Caenorhabditis elegans: one gene and its partners. The protein of the gene in region 1 interacts with the protein of each later gene in a pairwise test. Each region holds a gene or a part of one and is shown in the gene's direction. Other genes may lie near its edges. The genes, in order: rbm-26, sas-4, rde-2 and hcp-1.

Region 1 (5,640 bases):
AGTTGAGCAAGGTAAAAATAATTGAGTTTAAGTTAACAATTAAGTTACATCAAGATAACAAAACTGAATGTTTGAGTTTTGGCATGTGAGATCAGAAAAAACAAACCCTGACTAAAAAATGACGTTTTATTCAATGTACTACTCGCCTTTCTCAAGAGACAAGCGGGTAAAAAACGAAAAGAAAGTATTTCCGAGTACCTGTAAAATGAAGCGAAAGAAAAAGTAAATAGGAACGATATGGATGGTGCTGGCGGATAAATGAATGAGTTTGAGTGTGAGTTCTTTCTCCCCTTCAGTGAGTGCTGCTCATGCCGCGATTTTTTTTGCGTTGTCTCTATCTCTGAAGCTCGCTGGCTGTCATGTTGGATCTGATTTTCGAAATTGTAGCGGAGGATGCTTCCTTCTTCTCTCGCAACATTTTGACATCTGGAATTACTTAATTTTTAGTTTTTTTAGTATCCGGATTTTAGAATAGTACTTTCCAATCAATACAATCAGATTTTAACGATCAAGTTGGTCTAGTTCAAATTTATTAACTTCAAAAGCTTACTTTTTTTCGAATTTCTATTTGCGCCGTTTTGTGATCCTAAAATAATATGAAAGCTCGTAATTTTAGAATAAAAATAACTTTTTTGATAATACCCAGATTTTTCGATTTTTGCTTCAAAAATAAGGTGCCTGGTCTCGACACGTCTTTTTATAAAATACAAAAATACGTCCGCCTTTAAAGAGTACTGTACCTCTAGACTTTTGTTGATACGGGAGTTGCATCGATTTTTCATAGTTTTTCGTAAAAAATATATGTATTTATTTAAGAAAAAAAAAACTGAAATAGAACAATAAACCCACAAATTCTTTCCGATAATGAAGGCAATTATTAAAAAAATCGATGAAAATTCACCATCAATAGTTTTTAGGAATTAATCTTTTACATTTTCCCGGTGGTATGTTACAAGGTTTTATCAAAAATATTGCCAATTATATTTAGACATTCAGTTTCATCTTATCATCATCATCATCCCAATCCATCTTTCGCTATTCGTCAGAATCAATCAGTTATTTTTTCTTTGACAATCAATCACCACACACAATGTTCCGCGTGTAAAAAGAGTACGGTAACCTGGAAGTCCAGAAAACATTGACGGAGACCAGTTTGTTTCGACCGCCCGTGTGTATTTCTTGTCTAGTCCTCCTCGCTCCTTCCATGTTTCGTATTTATGCGCAGTGTTTCCACACACACTGCCGCTTGCCGAGATACGTACGCAACGCCTGTTGGCTGCTGCTGCCAATTTTTGATCATTATCGTACCCCATTGGTTCCTCCTTTTTTCTTGTCCATTTTAGGTTTTGTTCTTTATTATTATCAGTGTATCATTTAGAGATTATAATTCTACTGGCTCTTTTGTTTCAATGCACTCAACTTTTAATGTTACCAATTGTAGTTGAAAAAAGCAAGAATGATAATTATATTTTCAACATTTTGCATTTAGTTTCATAGATTTTAGTGCAAATTGTGTAGTTTATTGAGATCGAAAAAACGAAGTGTTTTTCTTCGAAATGTTCTGTTTGTTCTAACTTTCTAAATATTGCGAAATCTTTATAATGTTATTTCTCTTTTCGAAATTTTTACTTTCTGTTCAAATTTTGAGTATTTTTAATAACTCCCTTATAATGAAAACCCTAATTACACATTCTCGCATTTCTTTGCGTCTCATCTTCATTCACTCTTTTTTTTTCTCTCTACTTTCACCTGCTCTCACTCTCTCATTCTCTCTCTCGCTGTGATCTTCGTTTCCCAATTTTTTAACGAATTTTTTTTAGACTCGGTAAGAAACCTGAAAGAAAATATCAAAGAAAGCATGCACATCGACAATGAGGATGCTCTCTTCGATTGGCTCTCTGATGAGCTCTCGCCAATGTAAGTTTTTTCATTGATTAGACAGCCTACTTATACTTTTTTTTAAGAACTGACGCTGATCCAAATGCTCTCGCGAAATACGTGTTGGCTTTAGTCAAGAAACCGGATAAGGGACATGATGAGCTGAAAGCATTTACCAATGAACAGTTAAATGTGTTTTTAACAGACCGTAAATTTCATTTTTTGAAATGCTCACGTCATTCAATTAATACATTTACAGATACTGCTCCATTCGTCGACAAAGTCTTCGAAGCACTCACAAGCAAAAGCTATATGCCGGCATCAACAGCGCCTACCTCTGCTTCAGCAACTGCGCCTGATCTTAAAAAAGAAAAGGCACCAGCTGAGAAGCCATCGAAACCTACAGCTCCACCGGGTGTTCAAAAGTCAAGCAGCTCTCCTTCAGCCAGCAAAGCCGAGTCCCGCCCATTGCGCAAGCGAATTAGTCCACCTCCATCGGAAAATCGAGAAAAGGAGAAGCAGTCTCGTGACAAGGAACGCCGTCGTTCACGGTCCCCAAGAGATCGTCGAGGCCGCGCGACTACTTCAAGAAGTGGGCGTACTTCATCAAGTGATCGTGATCGTCACAGCAAACGTCGTTCTCGATCCAGATCACGGTAATGAATTTTAGAAAAGTTAAATCCCATCTATGTGTAACCATGGCTAACTTTGATTCGGGTTCTGATTAACTTATAACATTTTCAGATCATCCAGTGGCTCAAGAACTCCACCATACAAATCAAGAAGCAGTCGTCGTCGTTGTAAGGATTTCGAGGAACGTGGATATTGCATTCGCGGAGATCAGTGTCCATACTATCACGGTCGTGACCCGGTTGTAGTTGATGAGAATGCACTTGGGTCAATGGTTCCACTCCCGGCTACCGCTCCTAATTTCTCGTACGTCCCATGTTTATCTAACAATTCTTTGCAAAATCTCCCTTCTCATGATCTAATCTCATACAGTTGCAGTCTGCCTCCACCCGGATACAATCCGCTCAATCCACCTCCACCAGGAGTCGTCGTTGCCGCTGGTGAATACAACCCTGAAGCTCCTGCTCTCAACAATTACAGTATACCACCACCGCCGATCCCTGGACAATGGCAACAACCACATGTAGCTGCACAATATGTTCCCCAATCTGTTTCTTCTTACTCTCAGCCACCACCCGCCGCTGCTCAAGGAGTTGTTACTCAGCCGGGTTCTTTCCGTGGAGCACCACGTGGAAGAGGAAACATTAGAGGTCGTGGTGGATTTGCCCGTGGAGGTTTCACTGGAGCGATCAATAGAGATAACTGTACTCTTCAAGTTGCCAAGATTCCACCAGAGATGAACACGATCGCAAAGCTCAATGAACATTTTGCCACATTTGGAACTGTCGATAATATCCAAGTTAGATATAATGGAGAAATCGATTCAGCTCTGGTTACTTATGCTTCCAAATTTGACGCTGGCAAAGCTTACAAGTCTCCAACTCCAGTTCTCAATAATAGGTTTATTAAAGTATTTTGGCATAATCCTGGAGGCGAAGGATCCGAAAACGCAACTGGAAAGCCGTCATCTCCAACTTCTCCACCAAAACCTGTCGAAAAGCCGAAGATTGCCACAGTGCAAGAATCAAAATTTGTCAGTGTTGCTGCTCAAAACTATCGGAAGCAGATCCAGGATGCTAAAGAACGATTAACGAAAGAGAAGAGTATTTTATCGACGCTAGTTCAGGCTCAGAATCAGCATAATATTATTCTTGACAAGTGGATGGTTAAACAGAAGGAGTTGCTCATCAAGGCGAGAACGTCTACTGATGAAACTGATAAGAAGAATGCAACCAAATTGGTCAAACATCTGCATAAAAAAATAAAGGCATGCAAGGAAGAAGTCGACGGAATCCTGCTCAAAATATCAGAAAAGTCAATGGTGGTTGATGAGATTGCAGCCCAAATTGAAGAGCTTAAAAATCCACAAAAATCGGACGATTCGACCCGGAAGCGAAAAGCAGGAAGCGATGGAGACGAGCCCCAATCTAAAATGAGCAGTGTTGTCATCGTTCGAGGTGTAACAGTGAGTTTTCTTTAAATTGTAGATTTTAAAAACACATTATTTCCAGGATGAATTGGTCACTGATTTGATGGCACATATGGAGAAGTTCGGTGAGGTTTTTGATCACAGTGTTAAAGCCGACGACGATGGTCTCATAACAGCCGTTTTTCCGTTTAGAAAAACAGGTGATGCGTTGAAAGTGAGTTTTCAGTTTAAACGGGACTCGATTTTAAATAAGATGTTAATTTTTAGGCAATGGCGGATGGCAAAGTTCTGAATGGTGTGGACCTCGAGATGGAATTGAAGACGGAGCGAATCGAGGAGATCCCTTCAACTGATACGAACATGTCTGCCGACCAGTTGCTCGCTGCAATTCCGAGCAATCTTGAGGTAACTTGGTTTTCACTTGAAAATTAAATTTAAAAAAAGATTTCAGTCTGACGAAGAAGATGACCTGCTAAATGATTAGTCCTAGTTATATTAGAACTTTGATCTCAAAATATTGTCTTGGTGATCTTACTCGTTGTTTCCAAATGGTTACTTTTCTAGTTATCTGGCTGGTTAGCCTATTTAACCTCAGATTTACCTCAATTTTTCTTCCCGTTTATTATTGTTGCCTATCAGAAACTGTTTCGATTTTTTCTATTGTATATCCATTATAATTTATCACATTTCCTCTCTTATCATTCTTTAATTGTCTTCAGTTTAACTGCCCATTTGGCAATACTTTTTCATCTTCATTTTTTATTGTTCTTGGCTAAGAACTTGTCATGTGATCTGTTCAGAATCGCAATGATTATTGATTTTTACCTGATTCCTTGACAAGTTCCCATTATTTTTTCGTTCATTTTTGTTGTTTGCATTATTTCTATCGATATATCTCATTGATGAAAAAGCCAGCAAAAAAGAGCAAAAGAGAGCAATAACTCCACTAAATGAGAAAAATAAAGTAAAAGAATACATAATGGCTGTGATCTCGAAAAAAAATCAGCGAAAGAATAAAAGACGGGCCACTGAAAAGTGAACGAGTACAAAAAGAGCCCCTCCCGAGTGACGAGTAAAAAACGAGTTAATTTTCAATAAAACACAGGTATTTTTGCGGAAACCGGTGTGTTTTCGTCGTATTTAGCCGTGAATTGCCAGAAAATAAATGATTTTAATTTTTTTTTTCTTTGTTCTTTCTTAACTTTATTCCTCCAATTTTTCTTGCTTCGACGTTGCAATCGTCACATTTTATCTTTGATTTGATCGTCATTTCATTTATTTCCGAATTTGAACGCAAAAAGCTCGAAAATCAAGGTTTGTGACTCCTAATAATTACTGCAGAAAGTAAGAAATTCTCGGCATTTTGAAAGGCGGAAAGATGAACTATCCTAGATTGGCGCAAAGGCATTGATCTATACTGTCTGCGGCGGCCGGTTTCTATTAAGCTTTCATTTTTCTCCAGCACATTCTTCAGAAGCGCCACATTGCTTTAGTCGGAAATGCGGGTCATCTATTTAGAAAGTTTGGCGCTTTGTATTTGATTTAATATTAATTTTCTCATCTGATTCTATTTATTAGTCACAGTATCTCGTGCTGCACTCTTGTGACACGTGTCCTTTTTTCAGAGTTTTTAATTGCGTCACGATTTTCAAAATTTCTCAACAATGCGCTCGCGTTCAATAGGTTTTTCTTCTCTCAAAAAG
Region 2 (6,612 bases), 2.6 Mb from region 1:
AATAAACGGTATCCTTTAAACGATCAAGGCCGTTACTTATAACTTATAAAATTATATTTTACAAATAGTTATCTGCAAGTATCTACCCATTGACATCCTTATTTAACTCATTTCTTCTTTTTTCTTCTTACAATAATAATAATGTGTTCAGGATGGTCACAGTGATACCAAAAATAATAAGTTCTCCATATCCTCGGACACGCCTACCACTGTACCTCTACACTGTTTCCATCGTAAGAATTACCAATCAATAGAAAATTCAAGTTTACACCTATAATTCTAGATTATTTCCTGCTCTTTATTATACTGGAATCTTCTTTACTGCAAAAATTATGACTGTGTCGTTGAGAAGGAATTTCGATGGGGAAGTACTCGGCACTTACTACAGGTATCATACAATTTGGTACCATAAAGAAATGACATAACTTTCAGTACTTTCCGGTGATAGCAGCTCCGATTATAATGGTAATATCGTTTTCTTGGTTAATAATTGCAATATATTATTCAAGTAGTTCATGTGTTCTTACATTCAATTTTATGGTAAGTTTTATAGGAAGGAGGAATAAAATAAATATTGAAATTAAAGGAAATGCCATCTGCAGTACTTTGTTCTCTACTTGGTGGTATTAGTTCTGTAATAGAAATTCATTTTTCCATTGAAGTAAATCAAGTTCAATGGACTGATCAGTGGTTACTGTCATCTGTGGGTTTACCAATCAACGATTGTTTAAAAATCGATATTTTCAGGGATCTTCAATACTTTTATGCCTTTTACATGCTACAATTGCGTTCACACTTCAATAATCCTTCCAACATATTTGAATTTCCAATCTTCTTCAAATCGATGTGAAAAAACTTGTATCATTGTTTTTATCAAATATGAAACATTTTATAGGAATCAAAAATATTATGTGAACTGTGATATTTACTCTTGCTCAATTCATTTCATGTAAATATTATTTTGATACTCATTACTGGCATAAATTATATTTTCGAAATTCATGTCACGAGCGCGGATGATGAGGGACAATTCGAATTAATTCTCTTTTTCTCAACAAAAACAATTAAATTTTGAACCTCCCTCCGTTTTCTTTGAAAATGGCCTAGAATTGTGATGGCCGTGGACTAGCATTTTCCCTAGCACGACGGCGGGAATTGTCTGCGTCATCTTCGTCTTGCACGCTCTCTCGTTACCCCCCGCTGTGGTTATTATACCGTTTACCACCTTAATCCCTTCAAAACGCTTTTATAATTTCACATAATCTCTTCTTAGAAATCTCAATCGTTTATTCAGATGGGAAATCGATCAAAGACAGACAATGCAACTGCCGTGGCATCGCAACCACCCAAAAAAGTTAAATCGTAAGTTTTCTTTCCTATTTTCAAAACTAATATATCTGAAATCATCAACATTTTTAGGAAAAAGCAAAAGAAAATGAGCTTTTCACAAGCACAAGACGTATATCTTCGTCTGAAGCAAGAAAAAGAAGAGGAGAAACAACGAGAGCGAGCCGAACGAGAAAAGCGAAATGAGACGATTGCAGCGACAAATAAATCAAGAAAGAAGATGAATCAGGCATTGGCAAAAAGAAATAAAAAAGGACAACCAAATCTGAATGCTCAAATGGATGTACTTCTCGAGAGGATACAGAAAAGAGTGGATAAGGAGAAAAAGGAGAAGAAATGAACTAATTGTTTTGTCTTTTATATTTTCAGATTTTTTTTGTTGAAATGAAATTGTTGTGTTTTTAAAAATCGATAGTTTTATCGTTTCTTCGTTTCTTACCGATAGTATACTTTATTTTCTGAAATATAATTCAATTATTTATTAAAAACCTTTTCAGCCTTCAGATGGCTTCCGATGAAAATATCGGTGCCGACGGTGAACAGAAGCCTTCTCGGCCGTTTTTGAGAAAAGGACAAGGAACAGCAAGATTTAGAATGGTAGTTTGTGCAAATACAAGGCTTATCGAAATAATATATGAAGTTCAGCCTAGAAACAACAAAACATCTGCTGGTGCACCTCCAACGTCGGAACTTTCATCTGCTTCAAGTCCTTCTATTAATGTTCCTAGGTTTAGTCTGTCGGTAAGTAAAATATCTTAAATACAAACGTTATAAAACTGTGGTGACTAGTTAAATATAAATATTAAGTAGAATTATTCCAGAATGCTCTCCCGAACTCTGCCCGAACCGTGGACAGTGGAATATCAAATGAAGACGAGACCCGTCCACCAACCACCGCATCTCTTCCAATGGATCAACCATCATTGTCATCTTCGCCGGAAAATCGTCTAAATCCCGCACCTTCCGTTGCTGAAGAGCATGGCCACAGTGGACAGCACGCTGAAGAAGAAGAAGACAATGACACGGATGAAGTATCTGCAATGCCTTCTTTTGTGCCTGATGAACCTTCGACTCTTGTTAATTCAGATCATGAATTGTCTGATGATGCTTTAAAGTATAAAAATGCAGCTGCCGAATTCAAAGCTTTTGAGAGAAGAATGGATTCGGTAAGAACAGCCAAATCAGAATGATAATTGAAATTTTACATAGAATAGATTTACGTATCAAAAATCAAAACCTACGAATACTCTCTAATTCAAAATTTAATTAATTAAAATTAAAGATGAGATCAGCTTCAACAATCACAACATCACTGGCAACGCCATCATCTTGTGCACCATCAAACTCCTCTGAGCCTCCTACTCGGTCTACACCAATTATGAACGATTTAGGCGTTGGCCCAAATAATCACAATTGGCCGTCTTCAATGCAAGAATTATCAGGAATTTCTCTGGAAACACCACAGGCTCGACCGCTTGGCAGCAATAGAATTAATCAGCTTGGTAGGTTAATAACAAAAAAAACATGATTGATTAGATTTTTAGTTCGAAGTGAGGCTCAAACGGGAATAAGCCTTTTACAACACCATGAAAGACCTACTGTGACCGCCCCATTGAGACGAAATGATATGATGAACTCATCACGACAGAATCCACAGAATGGAAATGTTCAAGATGAAAATCGACCCGAGCACGTTTATGATCAACCAATACATGTTCCTGGATCATCACTGGACCGACAGAAACTTGAAATTGAAATTCGACGTCATCGTAACTTGAACATACAACTGAGAGACACTATTGCTCACTTGGATTATGCAGAAGAATCCGTGCACACCACAAAACGACAGCTCGAAGAAAAAATTTCCGAAGTCAATAATTTTAAGAAAGAACTGATAGAAGAATTTAAGAAATGCAAAAAAGGAGTTGAGGAAGAATTTGAGAAGAAGTTTGAGAAAATTAAGGAAGATTATGATGAACTTTACGAGAAATTGAAGAGGGATCAACGAGATCTTGAACGAGATCAGAAGATATTGAAGAAAGGAACGGGAGAAAGGAATAAAGAATTCACAGAAACGGTAATTAAGAATTTAAGCAAGAAATAGTTATTCGAGAAAAACCACGAAATTTCGATTGAAAATTTTTCTCAAAGCAAAATCTAAAATTTTCATTGAAATAAATTGAGAATTTAAAAAGTTGAAATTCTATTATAAAACCTTTAATTTAAAATCCAGCAAAACTTGTCAAATTTCAGATAGCCACTCTCCGCGACAAATTAAGAGCATCAGAAACCAAGAATGCACAATATCGACAGGATATACGTGTTCGAGACGAAAAGCTCAAGAAAAAAGACGAGGAAATCGAGAAGCTTCAGAAAGACGGAAACCGGCTAAAGAGCACTCTACAGACTTTAGAAAAGCGCGTAAAACAATTACGTACTGAAAAAGAACGCGACGATAAAGAAAAGGAGATGTTCGCGAAGGTTGCAATGAATCGAAAAACTTCGAATCCAGTGCCACCAGTTTTGAATCAAAGTGTTCCAATTTCGATAACATCAAATGGTCCATCTAGACATCCATCATCATCTTCGTTGACAACATTTAGAAAACCATCTACATCAAATCGAGAAAGAGGTGTTAGTTGGGCAGATGAACCAAATGAACAATCATTGGAAGCTGTACCACAGGAGTTTTTGATGGTAATATTTAGATCAAAGCAGGGTTTTTTTAAAATTGTTTTTAGAATATTGCTCTGAAAAAATCAATTCAAAAAAAATTTCAAATTATTTTTTCTTCCCGACTAAAAAATTAATATTTTTGAAAAATAGTTTTTTAAGTCTAAAAATTTACAGCTTACTATTAGCATTTGCCGAAAGTTCCGATTTTTCAAAATTCCCAGAATTAAAAATCAATAGTTTTCGAGTTACCGAAAATTGTCAAAAAAAAATTTTAAATCATGCTTTTTGAAGATGCCAGTCAAAGAAATGCCGGGAAAATTTGGAAAATGCACGATCTACAGAGATTCTCTTGGAGAAACATCTAAAGTGACGGATACAATAGCTAACGGTCTTCTTTTCGAATATTCCAATGGAGATCTTCGATGGGTTAATCGGCAGAACGCTGTTAATGTAAGTTTTAATTGGAATTTTGTCAATTAAAGTGACCAATTTACAGATCTACATATCCGCAGTTGATAAAACAGTCAGAATTGATCTCCCCACATACAATATTTCAATTATTCATACATTTCAAAGGCAAGTTGAAGTACTTCGTCCTGGAAATAACATAACATTGATAAGTATTAAACGACGAGAAGTTCGAACTGATTTGATTTATCAAAACGGAATGTATAAAACTGAAATGTAAGATTATTTTCTTTTTTAAAGTTCATCGGAAATTTCGTATTTCAGCTTCAATAGGGACGGAAGATATGTTACGAAGGATTTTAGCAATCAAGAAGTTTCGAGAAAGTGAGTCTCTATTCATTTTCCAATTAATTATTCAGAAAAACCATTAAAATCTCAAAACTATTACCCAGATGTTTAATTTAATTTAATTTAATTTATTACGATAGAAGATATCGTTAGGTAGAAAAAAAAACACACACACATTAATAGATACAAACCATCACAAGTGGTTACATAAATAAATTACATAAATAAAACGAAACAAAAATAAAAAAAGAGATGTGACATTTTGCGGCAAAAAATGTCTCGGCACGATAAAATTTAGTTAAATGGGAAAAGGCGTGCGCCTTTAAATATTACTGTAGTTTAAAAATCGCGTTACTGTCGAATTGTTGTTTGCCCCTTTTTTTTTTGATAAAAACATGTTTATTAGTTTAGAAAAAAGATAAATAAACCAAACTACAACAGTCTTTATAGGCGCACGTATTTTCACATTTAAAAATCTGTCCTTTAACGAAAAAATTGTAAAATTTGGCGCCTTCAAAGAGTACTGTAATTTCAAACTCAATTTGAAACAGAATTTTCATCGATTTTCCTTAGTTAGTTTTTCGATGAATTTTAATTTATTCATTAAAAAAACTCAAATAAGTATAACGATATTTTAGCAAATAATATATTTTCAAACAAAACATGTTTCTATAATTTTTGTCTAACCCAAAATTTAGGAATATGACCTCAATTCTTCAAAAAGTTAGTAAAACAGGTTTAAAACCCCGTTATAAATATTTTTGCCTCTGAAACCTATCAAATTTTCAGATACAATCCCGGTACACACACATATCGCGACAATCAATGTCGCTACGTTCTCGTCACTGATTACAACGATTTTGAGCTCGTTGAGCCAGAATTCCGTCTTCGTTGGTATCAGGGAGATCCGACTGGTCTCAACAATCAGTATATTCTCAAGATCATTGGACGACCTGAATGCAGCGAGAAAACATTGAGACTTGAAGTGAATCTTTCCACGTGTGAAGGTACATTGGAAACTGCAGAGATGATAGGCGATAAACGTCGGAAAACAACTTTGTTCCAGTGGAAAAAATGAGAAATTCCAACCCCTTTATTTTAACTTGTGGTTTGTATATCTATTCCATTGACATTATTTTTCACTCCTGAGTGCTCTAAAATTATAATTAATTCTACCTCCTGTAAAATCATATCAAATAATTCAATCATTTTTTACTATCTCAATTTTCACTTGCCCCCTCCCCCATTTCTTTCATATTGATCTTCATGGTTATTTTATTGACTGTTATAAACAATTTTAACTTTAAATGTTCTGCACAAAATTCGGGATTCAGATTGCAAAGATTTATTGGAACACTGGAGACATTTCAAGATGATCTCGGATCTTCTGCACGACTCGACGGACTCAAACTTTGAACATTTTCGTGTGAGATTTTCTTTTCTTTTTCCGCACTTTTCTTCTCTTTCTTCTCCTCACCACTTCCATCTTTCTTCTGATCATCTACATCCAGGAGCAGCATCTTGTGACGTGTAATCTTTAGATCACTGAGACGAGTTTTCGAATCGCCGACTTCAAGAGGAGCCTACAATCATCCTTATCTTTTTATATTCAGAATATCAAAAAACTAACCGGGTCACCTCGACCAGAAAACTCGCCTTCGCCTTCTTCACTCGATGATTTCTGAGTTCTCAGAGTAATCATATGGGTCTTACCGCTGACACCAAGAAGCGTGTAGAGTCGAGCCATCAGATCGTCTGAACGATATAATTGTTTAAAAATCTTAGATTCTTAAGCTTACGATAAGTGGCATCCGTTGGAAGGCTGACAACGAC
Region 3 (4,468 bases), on another chromosome or scaffold:
GAATCTGGACAAAAAGCAGTTGAGAATGTGATGAGTGATTATCGGGAGTCAAGAAATGCAATCAAAGTGCAGTTATATACCGATTCAAATGATTTTATTCAAACACAACAAATTGAAAAATCGGTGAGTTTATGGTTTCTGTTTTACGATTTGTTTTATGATTTATTAGTATATTTGGATACAGTGTATATTAAATATTTTATTCAATTTTTTTTAGACTTTCAAAAAAGTGGATCAAGGCTAAAACAAAATTGATTTTTTTTCCAGCATTTCAACGCTGCTGGAGACCGACTTCGTTCTTCTGAAATTCAATTATCAAAACTAGAGTCAGAATTGAAAAAGACAAAACAGGTAAGAATATATTTTTATGTTTATAGAACCTAGGGAAATACCCTGAACTTACAAGAAACTTATTTAATTATTGTATATAATTAAGCTAAAACTTTCAGATACGCGAAGAATATTATCAAGATTCCATGCAAAGTTGGTTTTCACGATTCTGGAAATATCTATATTGAAAATATTTCGTATTGTCACTATTGAATGAAATTTTAGCAAAAGCATAACAAAATTGAAGTTAACATATACAATCCAGTTTTGAACTTCCGCCAAAAACGGAAAATGCGTCAAGAAAGCTTGCTGGCGCTTTGAAGGATGGCGCAGAACCCGTTTTTCTTCTAGATTTTTAAACACAATTTTGTTTTCTTTCACTTCTTTTCCCACTAAAAACGATCAAAATGGCTGATATGGCTAAATTCGAAGAAGAAGTTAACAAGCTCAGAACTCTTGAAAAAGGTTAGTAACTGTTAATTTAAACAATCTTTTCAATCGTTTAATTATAGACCGCGAAAAGTACTTCACGAGTCGCCAAGAGATGGAAATGAGATTAACTGAGAGTAAAAATGTGAAAGCGGTAAGAAAAAGTTTGAGATTCAGTTTTCATGTTATCTTCATTCAGGAGCTTGATCTGATGGAATCCGACTCGAAAGTCTACAAACTCATCGGAGCGGTTCTTGTTCGTCAAGATTTGGAGGAGGCTCGATCGACTGTGGAGAAACGGCTTGAGTTTATCGACTCTGAGACGTGAGTTGTAACGTTTATCATGTTTCTTTAGTATTACTTCTTGCACGCTATTGATTTACACGAAACAAATAAAAATAACAAATAAATTTTACCTTTAAACGTTTTAAAATGCAACAAAACTTTAATTACAATTTTCAGCAAACGAGTGGAAGCCAGCATCTCAGACATTTCGAAGAAGTGTACGGAACAGCGAGACAAGGTGATGAATATGCAAAAAAGCTTCCAGATGATGGCTCAAGCAGCAGCCCAAGCACAGAAGAAATAATCCAGTTTGTTCTATGAATCTCATATTTTTTGCTCTTAATTTGTTATTTTTTGCCTATTCTTCATCTCTGGTGTTTCTCCGAAACGAGAAGATCACATTAATTTTTCTATGAAAAAAATAAGTTTCTTGTTTCGGGGAACCATTTACAATAAATGCTTTCAAACTGTTTTATACCATTTGTGCTCACGTCTATGTTAAAAGTCATTGCTAATTACATCAGTTCTGATTTATAACTATATTCATTTTCTTGCTATTCAGATGCATAATGGGTACCATTCTTATTTTCCTCCAAATCACTATTATGCTCAAAGTCAGCCATCATCGTCGTATAATCCCCAACCACAAATTCAACAACCGCAAACCCAAATATATGGATTGGTAGTTGGTTACAATAAATATGGAAACAGAAATTATCTTTTCTATACCAAAAATATCGATGGATTTGTCGAAATCAGTGGAAATATTCAGAGCCTGCAGATAGGACGCTGGCTAAAGTTAGACATTATTTTATCTGATTTTATTAACTAGCAATTTTAGATTAACTGTTTGTCAGAACTTCGTGGGACAATACGTATTGGATTCCTCAAATAGTTGTGGATATGAAAACTGGGACGTTTTGCCGAATCACAGAAATTCATCGGCGAGATTCTTTCCGAAGTATGAGGCTAACGATGAAGGAGAAATTTTGGTAATCTCAAATGGAAAAAGTTTTAATAAATAAAGAGTACGGATTTTTATAATTTTTCAGATAACAGCTCGATTTGATGTAATAGTAGATCGGAAAAATAATTTGTATGATTTCACCAGTTACGATATTTCCTATGATCATATTATTGACGACTTTAGTCTGATCAAATCATCATGTCAACACTATGATGGACGCAGTTTTATTGTTGAAGTAAGTTATCGATTTTAAAAAAAACTATTAAAATAAAAATATTGCAGGCTCAAGCATCTCTGGCAGGTTGGGTCGCATTGAGTGTGCATGAAGATCCACAAAAGCTACACACCTGTGATGCTGTAAGCCGAAATGGATATCAATCAGTATGTGGCAAAAGTGTCCTGGTTCATTTTGAATTGTTCACATTTTGGTTTTTGCTTATCAAAATTTCCCAGAACATATAAGCCACAACCTCCTGCAGTTTACATAATATAATTTCAGCTCCCGAATCCAGTCGTTGATTCTGATGTACAGTATCTTCATGATACAAGACTGTTGGATGTATGTGACTTATAGTTCAGAATTTTTCAAGTAATCACATTTTTAGATTATGACTGGTAATGGATATGTTCAAACACCCGAAACCGACGTACAAGATCAACAATCAAGTCAACATCAAGAAGACGTGCATTCTCAAATGAACTCGCAGACATCTGATTCGTACAATTCCTCTAGAGTTGTGTCAGAGAATCGGGAAATACCTCCGGAAACTTTTCGAAGCCAAAGTATCGAATTGAATCAAGTTGATTCATCCTTGTCCCAGACTACAATCTCAAGTCGAGCAGCACCAGTTATTGATTCAAATCAGTTATCAGATGAAGATGAAATTGATGATGAAGATACATACGGAACACGTGGAACATCTAATATTCCGATGAGACCGTTTATTAAAGATTTAGCTCCAACGATGCTTCAACTGCTTCGTCAAGATAAAACTGATTCCGAAAAAGTACGTAATGCCAGAACAATAATATTAATCTTCATCACCATATTTCAGCCTCAATCTGCTTTATGCACCGTTGTGCAAAAAATCGATGGCTTTGCAATTTTGTACACAGCCAAAAGAGACGTTATAAACGTTTTGCTTCAAGAAAGATCGTGTGAAGGATTGGAAAGATCCCCTCAACTCGGAGACGTGGCATTCTTCGATATCTTGCCTCGTAGAATTGAAACAAAAGATAGGCTCATTTTCAAGATTCCATATACACATATTGCAGGTATTTTACAATTTACCAATGTTTTAAAAAAACTTTAATTTTAAGTGAAAAAGAAACCAGACACGCCAGATTCTCTCCTTAAAATTGATTGCTTTAAAAACTCGGTCAGATGCTTCGGAGGAGTGCTTGAAATGAAAGTAAAAATCGCACTTTCAAAACCTGAACTAGTAGTGGAGCAATATCATGACAACACAGAGATGAACTCGGATCATCATTTTTATTATTTGAAAGCAACAAATGGAGTACTTGTCACAATTCCAAAAGAACGTCTTCTGAATCATTTGAATTCGAAATTATCAGCAGATTTTGACCTAATCGCGTGGGTTGTTCATCGAAAACCAATTGGAAATGTTTCATTACATATTGGAAAGGGAGGTGAAGCTTATCAACAGTTCACAAATGGAGATATTCGAGAGCTTCCGCCATTGTCTTCTAATCAATATTTCATGAATGGTAAGTAAGAGGGAAACCGAGTTTTCGAAGAAACCTAGGAGAATTCTTGGTTTTCTATTCAAATTATTATTTCAGTTCGAAAGTAAAAACTGCACAATCGACAAATCACGTTATGGGTTCAAATTGTATTCTGGTACATTAATTCTTGTTCTTGTGTTAACTTTTTTGATTATTTTTTGTATCATTTTACTGATTAAAGCATTTATTTTCACATGTTTATTGTTTATTTCTCGTTGTCTAGCGTTTTCATCGTTTGAAATATATTGCATATTGGTTATTTTTTGCCCATTTTTCAATATTTTAGTATGGCTTCCTCTTTGGTTAAAACCGCTTTGCGTCTTGCTTACCGTAATCCAGTTAGGTCAGGGTTACTGTAGGCAAGGTGTCTTTATCGATTCCACCATTTTTCAGGTTTACAAAGAGAAACATGTCGGAAGTAGATAAAGCCCACTTGGCGGCAATTAACAAAGATGTTCAAGCCAACGACACTCTTTTCGGAAAAATAATTCGAAAAGAGATTCCAGCGAAAATCATTTTTGAAGATGATGAGGTATGTAAGATCAGGCAAACGATCACATAAAATATTTATTTAAGGCTCTCGCATTCCATGATGTCTCTCCACAAGCTCCAATTCATTTTCTTGTGATCCCTAAGCGTCGCATTGATATGCTCGAGAATGCCGTTGATTCGGATGCTGCGCTTATTGGAAAGCTTATGGTTACTGCTTCA
Region 4 (7,544 bases), on another chromosome or scaffold:
GAGGTTCATCCTGTTAATCGAGTAGCCATTGTGATGGTTGTTACGAATGACACAAAACCGGAGAATTATGATATTGCTATTCGCATGTTTTTTTAATAGTGTTATACAAACAGATTTTAAAAAAACAAATATTTAAAAAAAGTAAAAAAACTGGTTTTTTTAAAAGGATTTTTAATATTTTAATTTTTTTTTAATTATTTATGTTAAAACATTCTTGGAACATGCCACATTGCCCTGGATTTCTTTAAAGCCCATATTTTTCGAAAATTTGCCAATTTTCCAAAACTTTGACTGGAAATTTTAAAAACTTTAAAAAACATTTTGGAATGTTTTATTATGACGTTCTATTGTTATTTTTCAGAAACGGTTCGTTGCTACTGCAAAATCCATAATTATGAATTTGTTCTCGCAGTTGATACTGATTTCAAATGTGCTCATAAAGATGTAAGTTCTAATTTTTTTTAATTTAAAAAAAGCTAACATTTCAGAAATTTTTCCGCCGCCACTGTGTTTCCGCAAAGATTCTCCCATTATTTGATGCGATCCTATTCTTAGACGCTGATATTGGTGTTGTGAATCCAAAGCGAAAAATTGAAGAGTTTTTGGATGATGGAATTGATGTTACATTCTATGATAGATTCTATAATTGGGAGATCATGGCTGGATCTTATATTGCAAGAAATACTCAATATGCTATTGATTTATTAAACGGTTAGTTTTTTATTCGAAATTTTTGTGATGAATTTAATAAAATTGCAGAGTTTGCTGATTATGAGTACAAGTTACCAAATAGTTTTCATGGAACGGATAATGGAGCACTTCATGTAACTTGGTAACTTCCTATTTCAATTTTTATTTTATTGTTTAGATTTTCCTTGCCGAAAAGTTGTTCCCACAGGCTTCTGCAAATACGAAAGTATGCAAAAAAGCTTATAACAATTCTAAAAATTTTGATGATCTCTTCACCTACGAGTCATGTATCCGAGCAATATTTGGCGTATCCACTGATTTTGGAAAAGTTAGAATTATGAAAAAAGTAGGTTTAAAATTAATACCACAACATCTACAATATTAACTGTACAGGGAACAGGATGGGCTAAAGACGGCTGGCTGACATCAATGATGTGGCATCCAGAGTTAGATTTCATGTTCCATGGTTGGAAAACGAATCAATTGAGAGAAACGCCGAATGTGAAGCTTGAGTTGGCAAATTACCTGAATTTTTTAAAAATTATTCAAGTATTACAGGCCTAGCCAAATGGGACGAGATTTTTGGTATAATCCTTTGAGTGGGCCTATAGATCTTCAAAAATGTAGTCCTCAAAATTCGACATGGTCATACGATTCACGACTTCGTGGAGATAAAAACGAAATTCTGAAAAGCCTGAGAATGTTCGAAGAAAATGTTGCATTTCAGCAAGTTTTGTCTTATATCCGGATGATGGGTTTATTGTTTCAGTAACCAGCAATTTTAAACTTTAAATTCAGATTTTGTGTATGTATATTTACTTGAATTGTAAGACAAGATATATTTTTGGAATAAAAATTTGTGAAAACTACATAAAACGCAAACGATGGTTTTTAATTTTTTTGTTCCAATCAACCCCATTTTTACAAGGCCACAAACTGCAAAATAAATAAAATATACCGATTTTCACTTGTAGACCTATTATATTTTGACCTTATGGTCGGTAAGAGCAACCGTGCTCCACCGCACATGGCGGGAAGGTTTCAATTTTGAATCACCACGCGCGGGAATCCGGCACTTTTCATTTCGTTCATTCATTCATTATTCATGAACGTTCATTTTCAGTTATCTGACATTTGGAAAATACTGTTTTGTTACTTTATTTGTTGCCACATAACGTCAAAAAGTTTCACACGCAGTATTTAATAGATATATTTCTAAAAACTTATTTTCCCCTTAATTTCCTGTTTAGTACTTTTTTCCTCCTTTTTTCAAATCACGCGCCCTTTTTGATTTTTAATATCCCTTGTGTAATTTCCATAATCATTATTGCTAATTTATAGATAAATCGACGTTTCTTTCACAATGGACGAATCGCCGATATTCGACAACGAGAACAAGCGCTCAGCTGGAAATGTAAGTTGAATTTTCTCAAAATTTTAATTAAATCAATGACAATATAAATTATTTCAGAAGCGCCAGCAAACCGAGTCGCCATTTTCCGCCGCTACGCCTAAATCACGACTAGGAAGAGAACCGAAACGCATTTTTGGAACTTCGTCGGGCAATATGGCCGATAGCAACCTGGAGGAGACCTGCCTCGAGCATGATTCCCGCCCGTCTTCTGCTTCTTCTATCACCCCTGCCGACAACACAAGTCTACTGGATTTGTCTACAGTAACAGCTTTGGCTACTGATGATGCATCCTTCGTGGGAACCAACGATGCTTCCATCACTCCGGGCAGCAATGTTGATGTGAATTTAGAACAATCTGAGCTCTACGACACCTCAAATTGCACGAGCAACCTGAGCATGGTTCAAGAAAGCGACGAGACGGACGCCGATGCCACACTGTCCAATGATTTCGATAATCAATTGGCACTTGACGGAGAGACTACGCCTACTGCTTCTCGTACTCCAATGAGCCAGATTCTGAGCCGAGAATGTACTCCAACAGTATCTAATCCACAGCTTCTCACGGAAATCGCCAAAGGAGTAGATCAGCCTACAAAGCCAGTCCGAGATGTCCCCCAGTCCCCAGTGCTTCCTGTCAAAGGTCACATTGACTTCTCACTGTAAGAAATTGTCGTATTTATAGCTTAAAACAAAATAATTTCAGACACGAGTTTGAAATGTTGGAGCAGAATTCCGAGCATGAGGAGTCAATCAAACTTCTTCAGTCGCAGATCGAGCTTCTCCGTCAAAGTCACAGTCAACAGCTCAGTGAGATTCAAGAAGCTCGAATTTTTGAGGAAAAGATGCTGACTCAGCAAGTAGATTCTGCAATGAAAAAGGCAAAATCTGACCGCGAAGCCGCTAAGGCACGAGAACAAGTTCTCGAGAAACAAGTTCAGGAGTTACGCTTGAAGCTGGAAGAGCCTGACGAAGAGAAGAATCAGTTGGTACACAATCTTGCTGCTCTGAACGCTCAAATCGAGGAGTTGACCCAGAAGGCTTTGAAAGTAGATTCGATGCAACAAGGAGCGACTGCTTCGGAAGATCGGATTCGGGAGTTAATTGGAGGCCATCAAGAAGCAATCAAACAGCTTGAGAATACCAAACAAATGAACGAAAGTCTTCAGCGCGATCTAGTAGAGAAAGAAGCGAGATTCAGTGAAGAGGTTTTTATAGAATTTATTGCCGAAGTAAATTTAATTAATTATTTTTAAGATGGAAAGGATTCGCACCGAATCACAAACAACAAGTGAATCGCTGAAGTATGAGCACGAACTTGTTCGCAAGATGATGATTGAGGATATGGAGAAACTGGAGGCAGAAGTACTCGCCCTCAAATCCCAACAAGCAAACTTGGAGATCCAAGAATTTCACGACAAGATCAAACAACTTGAATTGGAGGTGCAACTGTCGTCTGAGAACAAAGAAAAACTTCAAGCAGAGTTAATGGTGGTACAAGAAAAAGCTTCCGAAAACATCAAGAATGCCGAGGAAAAAGTGAACGGCCTTGAAGCAGAGGTTGGCTTAATTGAATAATCACAAATCAATATATATATTTTTATTTTTCAGGTCGAAAAGCTGCGATTTGAAGCCACCAATAATTCTCGTGTTGTGGAGCTCGAGCAACAACTCGAAGAGTTCAGATCGCTCATGATTAAAGAGATTTCTGATTTGGAGAACCAGTTAGAAGCTGCAAAACTTGAGTCAGGATCCACGAGTGAGCCCAATGCACAGTTGGAGGCATCGCAAGCTACAATCCAGGAATTGACTTCTGAGATGAAGATGCAGTTGGAAGAAGTGAAGAGACAGTCTGATGAAAACAATTCGTTGAATGTACATCTGACATCTTCAAACGAAAAAATTGCGGAACTAACGTCTTCATTGGAGATGGTGGCTGCTCAACTCTTATCTTCACAACAAGAAACTGATGTTGCCGTCACTAAGGTGGAAAATCTGGAGTTGAAGATGGAAGAGGCTCATCGAATGTATTTATTGGATATTGAACTGTCAAGAGTAAAGATTGACGAACTTCAGTCTTCTATTGAGGTGCTTTCAAAGCTTGAACGTGAGGTTCAGTCATCCAATTTGCAAAACGAAGAGTTGAAACTTTCTCTGAGGAATTTTGAAGAACTTCAAGCCGATCTTGCCATGTCGAAAGCAAAGAATGAAGAACTCGAACAGCAAATTGAAGATTCTAGTCGGGAGTTTTCTGTCATCACTGAAGCAAGTAAGGAAATGAAGTTGAAATGGGATTCGTCTGAAGCTCAGATGTCTGAAATGATAGCTTCTTTGGCCGCCTTCCAAGAAGAAATGCAATCAACTCAAGCTGATGCTGTCGCTTCTGAAGATAAAGTCAAACAGGTGGAATCTTTGTTGGAGAATTTGAAGGAACCTTTGGAGGAATTAAACAATCTTCGTGCCAATTTGAAGGATTCCAACGATAAGATTTTGGATCTTCAATCTCAACTCGAATTGGCTCAGCAATCTTCGGATCTCGCTGATCGTCTTCAGGAGGACTTGAGAACTTCAGATGCCAGGGTCCAAGAATTGAATATTCAAGTGTCTGAACTCGAACAGCAAATTGAAGTTTCTAGTCGGGAGTTTTCTGTCATCACTGAAGCGAATAAGGAAATGCAGTTGAAGTTGGATTCGTCTGAAGCACAGATTTCTGAAATGACAGCTTCATTGACCGCCTTCCAAGAAGAAATGCAATCAACTCGGGCTGATGCTGTCGCTTCTGAAGATAAAGTCAAAGAGTTGGAATCTTTGTTGGAGAATTTGAAGGAACCTTTGGAGGAATTAAACAATCTTCGTGCCAATTTGAAGGATTCCAACGGTAAGGTTTTGGAGCTTCAATCTCAACTCGACTTGGCTCAGCAGTTTTCGGATCTCACTGATCGTCTTCAGGAAGACTTGAGAACTTCAGATGCCAGGGTTCAAGAGTTAAACGTGCAAGTCTCTGATCTTCAAAGCGAGCTTGAAACTGCTCGCCAGGACACCAATGCTGTTCAAGTCGTTATGGAAGCTCTTAAATCAGAACAAGGTGAATCGTATGAAGCTCTTCGTGCTGAACTTGACGCTGCTGTTCAAGAAAAAGGCAGATCTTCTGATCTCGTAACTTCGTTGGAAGGTAAAATTCAGGAGTTAGAAACTGCTATCGAGAGTAGTACAGCTGAAAACGTTCAAAAAAGCAAAACCATCCAAGACTTCACCGACAAAGTGTCACTACTTGAATCGCAAATCTGTGAGCTGAAAAGTCAAAATGAGCAGATGGAAATTGATACTAACTTGAATATGGATCAGTTATCCGAAATGTCTTCTCAGTTGGAATCTGCAAACGCCGAGCTCATTGAACTGACGAGGACTTCCGCTGAGACTATTGATAAGCTTCGTGGAGAAGTAGAAAAGTCTACAAAGGCAATGATGGATCAAGAAGAACATCTTGCGGAACTAGTGGCCAAGATTGAAAGCCGAGATGTTGAGGTTTGACGAAATTTCTCTTTTATATTTATAAAATTGTATTTTTTCAGAACGCGGATCAAGCTGCAAAGCACAAGGAAGAACAAGAACGCCTCCAATCCGTAATTGATACTCTTCGGACATCACAGAGTACAATCGAAGAATCTCAAGCCAAGTCAGAGGAGTTGAATTCACGCATTAAAGAGCTTCAAGCATCAATTGAGTTTGCACAAAAGGCCCTAGCTGACACCGAAAACGCAAAGCAGGAGAAAGTCGAAGAACTCGAAAAAGTTCAGGAGCAGATGCTAAACCTCGTGCAAGCTTTCGAAGTGGAGGTTAGTTTAACGGACATTTTTTTAATTCCAAATTTATTGATAAATTTTACAGAAAGCATCGATCCGATTGGAGTGGAACTCGTCTTTGAGCAATGCAAACGAAAAACTCGAGGCTGCAGAGGAAGCACTCTCTCAGAAAGAGAACACGATTGTTACTCTGGAGTCGCGGATCGAAACAATCTCACAGCAGTTTGAGGCTCGCCTGGAAGAAGCAAATGTCTGGAAGTCGCAGGCAATGCAACTCGGCACTCTCACTCAATCGCTTTCGCAAATGCAACGACAGCTTGGAGAAATGCATGAGAAGATGGAAGCATCTGACCGTCGTGTCATTGAAGTCGAAGAACAAGCTCAACACGACATCACTTTGATTCAAGTTGAAAATAAAGAACAGTCGGAAGCACTGGAACAAGCACATTCTCGTATTCTGGAACTTGAGGAAAAGTTGGTGAGGGCTGAAATCGAAATCCAGCGATTGGAGAAAGTTTGTGATGCATTTGATGATGACGAGCGGGAGTATAAGGACAAGATCATGACACTTCAGTCCGAGATCAAGCAGCTGAAGGGTGTAAAGACGCCGCCACGAGTAATGGGACTGATCGAGCAAGCAAGACTTGGGTGAGTTGAACATGTATTAAAATTGACAAGTTGAGCGTTTTATTTTCAGTGTGAAACAACTGAGCCGCGAAAGCTCACTTGTCGAACCGCAAAACTCTGCTCATGAGGATGCCTTCGAAGATGCGCAGAACTCCTTCCAAGATCGTCTTCAAACCATGTCGAATACTACTGCCCGGCAGATAGATGCTTCAAATCATCATCCGGAGGATCACGTTTTGGAGAAGTCGGCTCGCGAAACTCCATCGAAGAAGAATCGATCAAACTGCCAACACCAATAGGCTATAAGATTCTCTCACCCCACTAGATCTCTCACCGTCCCCCACTAACATATGTGCCATGAATACCCGTTCTGAACCCATATTTACTTGTCAAATATTATTTGCTTTTAGGGTCAGAATAAACGGGTTTTTAAATTTATCAACGATTTTTAGTCTCATTAAAATACAATCAAAGAAGATCCTGAATAAAGGTGACGTCATTTATAGTGAAAAAGTGATATATTACAGCTCAGAAATTTCACAGGATTATTATCATTGCAAATTTTCGCGAAGTTCGATGTTCTCTCCTTTCGCATGTTCAACAATCCATTTAATCAATAGATCCTTCGAACTGATAGCGTCTAATTTGATAGTCCACTCCAAGTTGTTATCTTTGTTCAGAATAATTCCAACATTTGGTTCAGCGTTTTCTGAATTAATTTGATCAGTTTGATCAGAGGTAATGCCAACTGGAGATGTCAGTTTCACACGTATCTTCTCATCTGTGCTACGTGGTACATGATGCTTGATTGTTAACAGTACAGGCGGTCCACTTCTTGTATTCTTTACACTAATCGTCTGCTCGGTGGCATGAGTTGAATGTTTTGTGATGTAACCGCCTTCTTCATGGAACTTTTTGGCTGGCTTATATTCGATACGAATGGCCGTGTCCACGCCTAGAGAACAGGTGAATCGTTCACCTGGTGACACATCTTTCATGTGACTCTGAAACAT

Evidence for each region.
Region 2: the proteins of rbm-26 (region 1) and sas-4 interact in a two-hybrid assay, tested with the Caenorhabditis elegans proteins (one study listed by BioGRID).
Region 3: the proteins of rbm-26 (region 1) and rde-2 interact in a two-hybrid assay, tested with the Caenorhabditis elegans proteins (one study listed by BioGRID).
Region 4: the proteins of rbm-26 (region 1) and hcp-1 interact in a two-hybrid assay, tested with the Caenorhabditis elegans proteins (one study listed by BioGRID).

What each region holds. Positions count from the first base shown.
Region 1 is NC_003281.10:5,709,728-5,715,367, forward strand, and holds rbm-26 (C3H1-type domain-containing protein), read left to right. Parts: upstream 1-1,814; 5' UTR 1,815-1,858; coding exon 1,859-1,917; intron 1,918-1,964; coding exon 1,965-2,086; intron 2,087-2,137; coding exon 2,138-2,534; intron 2,535-2,622; coding exon 2,623-2,814; intron 2,815-2,880; coding exon 2,881-3,973; intron 3,974-4,019; coding exon 4,020-4,151; intron 4,152-4,204; coding exon 4,205-4,342; intron 4,343-4,381; coding exon of another isoform or gene 4,382-4,388; coding exon 4,389-4,421; 3' UTR 4,422-5,117; downstream 5,118-5,640. Other genes in the region: B0336.12 (uncharacterized protein), read right to left, coding at 335-418.
Region 2 is NC_003281.10:8,313,821-8,320,432, reverse strand, and holds sas-4 (Spindle assembly abnormal protein 4), read left to right. Parts: upstream 1-1,844; 5' UTR 1,845-1,851; coding exon 1,852-1,944; intron 1,945-1,992; coding exon 1,993-2,088; intron 2,089-2,168; coding exon 2,169-2,513; intron 2,514-2,629; coding exon 2,630-2,849; intron 2,850-2,891; coding exon 2,892-3,424; intron 3,425-3,600; coding exon 3,601-4,044; intron 4,045-4,314; coding exon 4,315-4,473; intron 4,474-4,519; coding exon 4,520-4,707; intron 4,708-4,755; coding exon 4,756-4,815; intron 4,816-5,568; coding exon 5,569-5,857; 3' UTR 5,858-6,084; downstream 6,085-6,612. Other genes in the region: F10E9.10 (uncharacterized protein), read left to right, coding at 153-233, 284-388, 433-540, 587-703, 748-804; F10E9.11 (rRNA-processing protein FYV7), read left to right, coding at 1,295-1,362, 1,420-1,687; F10E9.2 (uncharacterized protein), read right to left, coding at 6,147-6,362, 6,410-6,534, 6,579-6,612. UniProt on the Caenorhabditis elegans protein: Required for centrosome duplication. Plays a central role in determining centrosome size.
Region 3 is NC_003279.8:7,280,010-7,284,477, reverse strand, and holds rde-2 (SH2 domain-containing protein), read left to right. Parts: upstream 1-1,606; coding exon 1,607-1,842; intron 1,843-1,885; coding exon 1,886-2,036; intron 2,037-2,096; coding exon 2,097-2,246; intron 2,247-2,293; coding exon 2,294-2,392; intron 2,393-2,510; coding exon 2,511-2,570; intron 2,571-2,616; coding exon 2,617-3,018; intron 3,019-3,066; coding exon 3,067-3,286; intron 3,287-3,331; coding exon 3,332-3,739; intron 3,740-3,814; coding exon 3,815-3,825; 3' UTR 3,826-3,954; downstream 3,955-4,468. Other genes in the region: F21C3.6 (DUF4200 domain-containing protein), read left to right, coding at 1-123, 268-351, 450-518; pfd-6 (putative prefoldin subunit 6), read left to right, coding at 738-795, 843-913, 959-1,083, 1,222-1,348; hint-1 (Histidine triad nucleotide-binding protein 1), read left to right, coding at 4,167-4,289, 4,334-4,468.
Region 4 is NC_003283.11:6,592,173-6,599,716, forward strand, and holds hcp-1 (HoloCentric chromosome binding Protein), read left to right. Parts: upstream 1-2,021; 5' UTR 2,022-2,053; coding exon 2,054-2,104; intron 2,105-2,161; coding exon 2,162-2,763; intron 2,764-2,807; coding exon 2,808-3,309; intron 3,310-3,358; coding exon 3,359-3,661; intron 3,662-3,712; coding exon 3,713-5,626; intron 5,627-5,673; coding exon 5,674-5,937; intron 5,938-5,989; coding exon 5,990-6,552; intron 6,553-6,601; coding exon 6,602-6,830; 3' UTR 6,831-7,036; downstream 7,037-7,544. Other genes in the region: ZK1055.2 (Nucleotide-diphospho-sugar transferase domain-containing protein), read left to right, coding at 1-82, 362-444, 489-711, 760-824, 869-1,036, 1,084-1,202, 1,249-1,462; ZK1055.6 (Protein F37C4.5), read right to left, coding at 7,083-7,535.